Daphnia pulex: one gene and its partner. The protein of the gene in region 2 interacts with the protein of the main gene of each other region in a pairwise test. Links are inferred from orthologs where the notes say so. Each region holds a gene or a part of one and is shown on either strand. Other genes may lie near its edges.

Region 1 (4,116 bases), on a different chromosome or scaffold from region 2:
GATGAAAAATAAAGTAAAAAGAGAAAATCACGTTTTCATCATACTGAAATATCCAACATTTGAGATTCGTTTGACGTTAATGACACAGTCCATACAGATATTTTTACGTTTTTTAACTTAAGTGATTGGCATTACTTTTATTAACAATAACTTTAATGGAATATGAAATGGTTACTTAATGGTATTCGAGAAGACAGAAGAATCGACGCCCATTGATGAAAAACCATGCGGGAACAAAGCAGCCGAGGTGACCGGAGGTGACGAACTGACGATCAATATCCAATATGGTAGTTGGCACAGGAAACAGTACATGATTTCTCCACTAGGTGTCTGATGAAATAATAATGGGTAATGGCGCTCTGTTCAAAAAGTAATACCGAAGAGACTGCTTTAATCATGACTTCATGTTCATGATGATTCGAATCAAACGCATTTAATAATTATAGTTCACAGAATATTTTGTACGTGAATACATAAGCAAAAGAAACATTACTTAACAGTAAATGAGTTACATCAATAAGAAATGACGCATTAGGGATTATATTAACCACACACAACCAGACGATCAGTTGCTTTTTTTTAAATATCAATCCAAGGCCACTTCGACTCAAGATAAGGCTACTGTCAAATTTTAGCGACTAAAATGTATTATGAAAGCAAAATTATAGGGCGCAGTAACCTGATTTGATGTGCCACGTGCAGTAAGTGTTTACTATTGAAGCAGATCAATGACAAATGACAATCCAAACATGTTTTCCCAGCTTAGTAGGAATTTTACCTGTACTCATTTTCTAGCATTTGATATTGCTTGTCCAGGTTTTCAATCCGTTGTTCCTTAGTTGAAGTAGATAGGGTAGAGCGAAGTTCCTCTGCATTGAGGGCCTTTTGTAATTTCTTGTAATCTGATGCTTCTTTCTGTAATGGAAAAGTAAATTATATTGGGTATAATTTGATTAATCGAACAAGCTCGGACCCACCTGATAGGGAATATTCAAGCGACGCTTTACGTCTAAGCGATAGGCACGATATTCTTCGACATCCGCTAGGTTGGTTGCCTCGAAACGAAGGATTTCATAAACACGCCTTGCTTGTTTCTGAATACAATTGGAGCATAACAATTTTAGAGTCAGTTGTGAAACCAAGTTATTAATATTACTTTGTTGATTTTAAGCTCTCGTTGAGCATCTTCCACCATCTCAGCATTAAATCCTTGTTGAAGTTTTTCTTTAGAATAAGACGATAGTTTTTTGCTATTTTGAGCGTCGACAAAATCACGAAGACGAGTGAATTCTTCCGAAGGATCTTCAACTGTTAAAAAATAGACACAAAGCATGAGTAACAATTCTCCAAACATCTGTTAACACTGATACATACCTGTGATGTCAAGTATGTTGGAATCCTTAAGAAATGAACGATAAATGGTGTTTAGAAGTTCTGCTCCAAGACCTACGCGTTGAAAAGGTGGCAAAACTAAGAACTGGCTGATGCGAGGCCGAGTTTTATTAGGATAAGCAAAATAAAGGTAAACTGTGGCATATCCACACAGAGCATATCGATGACTTCCATCACAAGGATATTTTTCGAATCTGCAGAAGATACAGTCTCAAATGAAAAACATCGGATTAGATGAATATCTAAAAGTTATTACATTAAGTAAAAGCGCCAGCGGTCATCATCAACGTCGATAAAGCTAGCTGCATCCACATACCACAAGAGGAAAGTTTGCAATCGCTCGTGGTATGATCGAAAACTAGGTTCTTCTATCGTACAACTGTACAATTCAAAATTCTTTTCTGCGGCCGAACCTGGAAATGGGATTGTGATGACTCAAAGCATCTACAAAATCTGTGAACCTTTGTAATCTGTAGTATTAGTACCTTTGTTTATAGAGTATGTTGAAAGAAGTTCACCAGGAGGTTTGAAGCTTTGTTCTTTGTTTAGGGTTACGAGAAAGTCATCAAGGTTAGTCATGTAACCAGGTGGAAGTTTAGGAGTGATGGCTCCCATTACATCATCAGCCTAATAATGTAAAGTAGTTCAAATACATCACACAATTCAAATAAAAAGGGGACTCACTGTAGCTCCTTCAAATTGCTTGGGATCAACTTTTTTACTGTAATTCATTCCAAGGTATGTGTTTAGTTTTCCTGCAGTGTAGTACAAGCTAATTTTGAGGTTCTGGTAACCAAATATGCTTTCACTTGGGGAAACAAAATAATTTATAATTGATTAAATGATTCTCAATGTTTTTACTTGGACATACTTTTCTCCAAAAATTTGATGAGACATTTCTGGTTTGAAGGTAGTTTCATCATTATCAACATCAGAAGGTTCTCGAACTGTATAAATTAAAAAAATTGCATGATTCAGTAAAAGCTTTAGCAATAAATTAAATTCCTTACCTAACTTAAAATCTAGAGCTTCGTTCGAATCGATGATGAATGACTGAAGTACATTTTTTTTGTAAGAACCTAGCAACGTAAAAAGAAAAGTTAGCAAGCATTTTGGTGTAATGAATTATGTTGGAAGTTGTTTTGTAATATTCTAAAACAAATTCCTATGAAATGCATTACCTTCCATTTCAATATGAATAGTTAATATAAATTAAGCTGCACTATGACTTAACAAGTGCTAATAATAATTTGCTACTTTCTAAAATGCACAGGCGGGCGGCATGCAAAAACTTCTGACGAACTGAATCACTACTGAATCACTACTGACCGCGAAAAAGGTTGTTGGAGGGATTGGGCAACCGATTTGGAGATCCATGTTCTCTAGCCCAAACAACTTAAAAGAAGAAGGAGGTTGCAGAAACCCTAATGCAATGATAGTGATAATTGCACACAGTAGATGGCGATAGCTCTTTTTCCCGCGTTATATGTAGCAGACAAAAATCTTTTGTGAAATGTCAACAAAGCCTGAGTTTTCTTCTGCTTAACACTCAGTCAAATTCGATTTTATAGAACAAAATTAACAAATTATTCAAATACTAGCCTAAACACTTTCTTACTTAAATAAGATTTTGACAGATATGCTATTTAAAAGACTATGGGCTACTTCACTTGGTAGCACACTCTCATCGTCACAAAACCTAATGCAAATAAAACGGAATATAAGAAATATCTCCTGGTTTAAGTATTTTTGCTATCTCATTAAAACCTGATAAATATATAGAAATAACTAAACATTTTTAACAGGAAAAATCAAAATTTCGGAAATTACCAAGTTATAAAGAAACCAGGCCATGTAGTTCTGGAGCCAAGATGTGTTCCATCAAATATTGTGAAGCCACCGTACATAAATGATGTAAATGGCACATTCCCTAGTTCTGCTCAACCAGAGATCAAATCCAGCACACAGATAGAATGCATGAGGGCATCCTGTAGCCTTGCAAAAAATACCCTGAGGTACGCAAAAGAGCTGGTTAAGGTAAAAGAATGTATTAGGAATTGCCGAATTGGTAACATGGCATGATTGAAACAGAAATATATCTAAACAGTATGTTTGGATTTACAGGTTGGAACTACAACTGAGGAAATTGACAAATGTGTGTATGAGTTTATTATCTCTCACGGAGCTTACCCATCACCTCTACATTATAAGGGATTTCCAAAGTCTGTTTGCACCTCTGTAAACAATGTTGTGTGTCATGGTTTGTACTATTTTGGAATTAATATCTATTATATGCTTGAGCTTTACTTATTGTGCATTTTCCAACTTAGGTATACCTGATGACAGACCTTTAATTGATGGAGATATTATAAATGTGGATGTCACTGTGAGTTGTAAATTGTTTTTTTTGTGTTTTTTTTCCGTCAATTTGATACGAATAATGAAGACTTATTGAAATTCGTACCATAGGTGTATCTAAACGGTTTCCACGGCGACGTTTCAGAGACTTTCCTAGTTGGTGATGTCGATGAACAAGGAAAGGAATTAGTGGATGTCACCAAAATATGCCTAGATGAAGCTGTGGCAATATGTCATCCGGGGAGACCATATAACAATATCGGTAATCAACATCATTGAAAGTCTGTTTGTTTTTTTGCTCTTGCGCTGATGACAGAACATTGTTGTTAACCATTCTGTCCAACTATTAAAGGCGCAGTCATTGAC
Region 2 (4,000 bases):
GATGCCGGTATTTTCAATGAATTTTATTTCAGTCGTTTGCGGATATTGGAAAAAAATATTGCGCGCCTTTGTTTTGGGCGTTTGGGTAACTGCCCTTGAAAAACCGATGCGTCACGTTTTTGCAAGGCATATTTCAACTGACAAAAAAGCGAAAAAAACAAACAAACAAAAACATTATGAAAATGTGGAATCGATTTTCACATTTCGCGATCCATAAACATAACAAATGTTGGCGTTTTCTCAATCCCAATACGGGGTCCAACCATCCAGACGGACCTTGGCCGAACACGGTGTTGAGGATGCTGCTGGAGTCTTCGTCATGCTCAACCTCAAGCGCTTTAATTGCGTTTTCAAGGTTGAATAATAAATAACATCGGTCCTCTACACTTATTCACGGGTAGGAGAGGAACTTTTTTACTGCCGCATGATGCCCACACCCAGCTGAAGACGATAGATGTTTACCTGCTGCTTGCTGGCGGGCCAGTGTGAGCCGAACAATGTTGATTCACGGTCAAGACGGATATGCTGTTGGCTTCTAAATCCAAACATCACAGATTAGAAATCCGAGTTCAAAGAAAACAGTCGAACATGTACAAATACAAAATCACGAATAATTAGAACAGTCGGGAATTAGGCAATTTACTGTTATTTAGCTTTCGAAATCTAATGATTGCGTCATAGGGTCAGGCGATCAAGAGTCGAATTTTGTTCTGAATAAGAGCGTCTTTCAACCATTTATTGAAATTTCATCACAACCCACTTAATGGACTGCAAATGGACTAGTAACCTAATTAACGGCAGTAATTAGAATAATTCAAATTGAACCAAATCGCGGAAAGCTATTTATTGAATACACAAACTTGGATCTCCAAGCGATGTAAGGGCCAAATTCGAAGATTTGAATGTTAAAAAAAAGATGAGCGTGTACGTGGGACAGTAAAGAATCAAACGATGAGAAATAGGGTATAGGGCGATACACTGGAAATGCATTAATTAGTAGGGGTTTCCAGTTCTGAGGCTGGCGTCTCAGGCTCCTCGTCGTTGTAAATATTTTCAGCCATTTGCCAAACTTGCATGATGTTATCCTCAGAGACGGAGCAGATGACCCAGGGCTCATTCGGGTTCCAGGAGAAATCAGAGATCTTGGCCGTATGACCACCGTGAATGAACTGTTGAGAATTCAATAATTAAACAGCATCCGAATCAAACAATCGCATCAATATTTCAACTTACCAACAATTCTGGAGGGCCATCTTCGGCATCTTCGGTGGATTGTTCTTCTCCAATTTTGGACAAGTCCCAGACATGCAAGCGTCGGTCGGTGCCAGACGAAGCCAAAATAGTCTCATTATGCGGTGACCATTGGACTTGAAAGATTTCATCCTTGTGCGACTCGAACGAATGTAATTTGAGTTTAAGATTTCTCAAATCCCAAAGAGCTACAGTCTAGAAATACAATTTGGAGACATGTTTAGTTGAGTAGAATAAATAGTAGATTTTAATATTAAATGAATACTTTGTCTGCAGATCCGGTAGCTAAAATAAATTCGGAGTAAGGATTGAATGACAGACAGTTCACTTCAGCCGTATGAGCATCCACGGTATGGGAGGGCCGGCTGGTGTTATTGCTGCGAGTATCCCAAATCATAAGCTTCTGATCATCGGCAACGGAACCAAACAAGGACTCGTGAAGCAAGTGCCAAGCGACATCTTCTACAACTGCTGTGTGGCCAGTGAATACGGTTTTGGCGTCGAGAACACGATTCTCTCTCGGCGATGCGTTAATATCCCACAAGCAAATGGTGTGGTCATCAGATGCTGACAGCAAGTGACCATTAAGGTTTGGATTCCAAGACAAACCGTAACCTTCCTTCTGGTGTCCTCTCAGACTAAAAAAAGATAATGTAGTTGTGAGTAACAAGTTTAGGTCATAAGAAATCATTTGAATAAAAAATGACTCACCGTAAATCAGGGTGGCACTCTCCACTAGGATCAGGGCGAGAAGGATGTTTTGTGTAGTCAAAGACCAAGACGTCAGATGAAGGTGTTTTAGTGGCAATCACACAAGGATTCTGGGGCATGTAGCGAGCCCTGTTGACTTCTCCTTCATGGTTGATCTTGATCTCAATTTCAATCTTACCACTCACTGATCCAAAGCCTCCAAACTCTGATAGAGATGAAGCATTAAAACAATAGTGCAACAGATTTGATCAAGTTAAATGACTACCTCCTTTATCATTGTCATAATGTGAAGCATCAAACTGAGCATCCTCATTAGGAAGCTGGACAGATGCAATCAAGAGGTGATTTTGTTCATCGCTAGTGTGAGTACCAAGGATGAGACGATGCACTGAGTAGTCTTTGCCTTCAGGCCTAACGGAGAAAAGAAACATTCAACAGTTAGAAAGAAACAATAAAACACCTTTGTTCTCAGTAATTTACCTTGTAACATCAGGAAGCCATTGAGCTGTAAGTGAAGGCCATTCCAGAGCATGTGTCATAACCAAATCATACAAAAATGGAGTATTTTTCTTCCAAATTTTGTATTCCTCGTTGATGACGCGTTCTTCCACTGCTTCATCAAAGGGCTCTAAAAAAGATTGGATTAAATTTCACTGTCATCCAATAACAAAGAATGATTTCAACAGATACCTCCATCTTTATCTGCCATCGTTAGTCAATCAAGTCCTTTACTAATGATGAACCGGCTGGAACCTGTCAAGCAATAGATTCGGTTAGCAGAGACTTTTGAGCGTGCTGCTTTGTTAAATGGCGGCAAAAACGAAAGCAATTCCAGTGGTGCCACTTTGGAAAAAGTCGAAACTACTTCAATAGTTTATTTTGCCGTTCATAGATGGCATGGTCATGTCTTTAAAGAAAAAAATCTTGAAAATAATAAAATTGTTGTCAAATTAAAAGAATTTGCCTACTTCAAAAGTCTGATTTAAAAATTAAATTTAATTAGTAATAATTAAAAACAATATTTAGGTAGGCCATGGGTGTTGAGAGATTTGTATGCCTGTGGGTAGGTCTAGGAAAAAATCTTCATGTAAGGCAGTGTAAGGCATAAAAACAGTTATATTGTTATAGGAATACAGTTATTTTTTCTAGAAAAAAATATTTGCTTTCAAAAATATATCAATGCTTAATTCCACAAAATTTTAATGGTTTTCCGATGCCCAATATGATTTTAACTTTTTCTCAAGCTTTTTCTGTTGCGCATAATTAATTTCATAGTGGTTTAGCGCTAGATGCCAAAACAATGGAAGGAAATTTGAAGGTGCTTCACCTTTGTTGTCAAGGTTAAAGTGATCTACCTGTTACAATGTAAAGGCGATTGGCGCTCTAGGAAATGGTTCACAGTAAATCATGAAGAAAGCCTCCTCCGGCCATCCGTTAAACAATGTAATATTTTCCGTCATCAGACAATCAAACCGATATTTGAACTAGAAGATAGCAAGACGAGTAAACCACTTCAAAATTCTCTTTCATTGCACAGTGTATTTTTTGCCATAAATTTAATTGAGTTCAGTATAGAAGTTGTACAGCGTTAATAGGATTATTTTTTACTGCGTCTAAGAAAAATTAATGATTTGAAAACACCGTCATTTCTTTCCATTCCTTCATAACGTATTTATTGGATTAAAATTTTCTGCTATCACAACATTCACTAAAGGCTAATAACGTAGTGCTTCAACCAAATGAAATATATATATATATATATTTCGCCGAGCATTACGTGTAGTATGAGGAGTATGAGGAATATGAGGAGTAATAATGGATGGAAATGCCGGTTGAGATATTATCATAACAATGGTCCAAAATTGAAGTCAACTTCTGTTCTCATTTCAAAAGAGATATTCCACAATTTAAGTTAGCTGTTGGCCTTCCGTTCATTTGAACAATAATTCATTGTAGATTCGATCGGACCCAATATATTCATCATCATCATTCATCCAGCATGGTACGATATAAGCTTTTGCACGAAAGACACCCATAC

The links.
Region 1: the proteins of chromatin assembly factor 1 p55 subunit (region 2) and histone acetyltransferase type B catalytic subunit-like interact in a two-hybrid assay, tested with the Caenorhabditis elegans proteins (4 studies listed by BioGRID). The link is inferred for Daphnia pulex from reciprocal best matches to the Caenorhabditis elegans genes lin-53 and hat-1.

The regions. Positions count from the first base shown.
Region 1 is NC_060025.1:914,352-918,467, reverse strand, and holds histone acetyltransferase type B catalytic subunit-like, read right to left. Parts: upstream 2,794-4,116; 5' UTR 2,581-2,793; coding exon 2,574-2,580; intron 2,472-2,573; coding exon 2,403-2,471; intron 2,340-2,402; coding exon 2,264-2,339; intron 2,201-2,263; coding exon 2,077-2,200; intron 2,020-2,076; coding exon 1,878-2,019; intron 1,806-1,877; coding exon 1,649-1,805; intron 1,587-1,648; coding exon 1,375-1,586; intron 1,309-1,374; coding exon 1,157-1,308; intron 1,095-1,156; coding exon 978-1,094; intron 916-977; coding exon 775-915; downstream 1-774. Other genes in the region: methionine aminopeptidase 1D, chloroplastic/mitochondrial-like, read left to right, coding at 3,032-3,135, 3,198-3,429, 3,517-3,652, 3,723-3,778, 3,862-4,012, 4,103-4,116.
Region 2 is NC_060023.1:6,455,853-6,459,852, forward strand, and holds chromatin assembly factor 1 p55 subunit, read right to left. Parts: upstream 2,810-4,000; 5' UTR 2,672-2,809; coding exon 2,653-2,671; intron 2,591-2,652; coding exon 2,443-2,590; intron 2,374-2,442; coding exon 2,228-2,373; intron 2,168-2,227; coding exon 1,963-2,167; intron 1,890-1,962; coding exon 1,517-1,889; intron 1,447-1,516; coding exon 1,234-1,446; intron 1,170-1,233; coding exon 990-1,169; 3' UTR 830-989; downstream 1-829. UniProt on the Caenorhabditis elegans protein: Core histone-binding subunit that may target chromatin assembly factors, chromatin remodeling factors and histone deacetylases to their histone substrates in a manner that is regulated by nucleosomal DNA.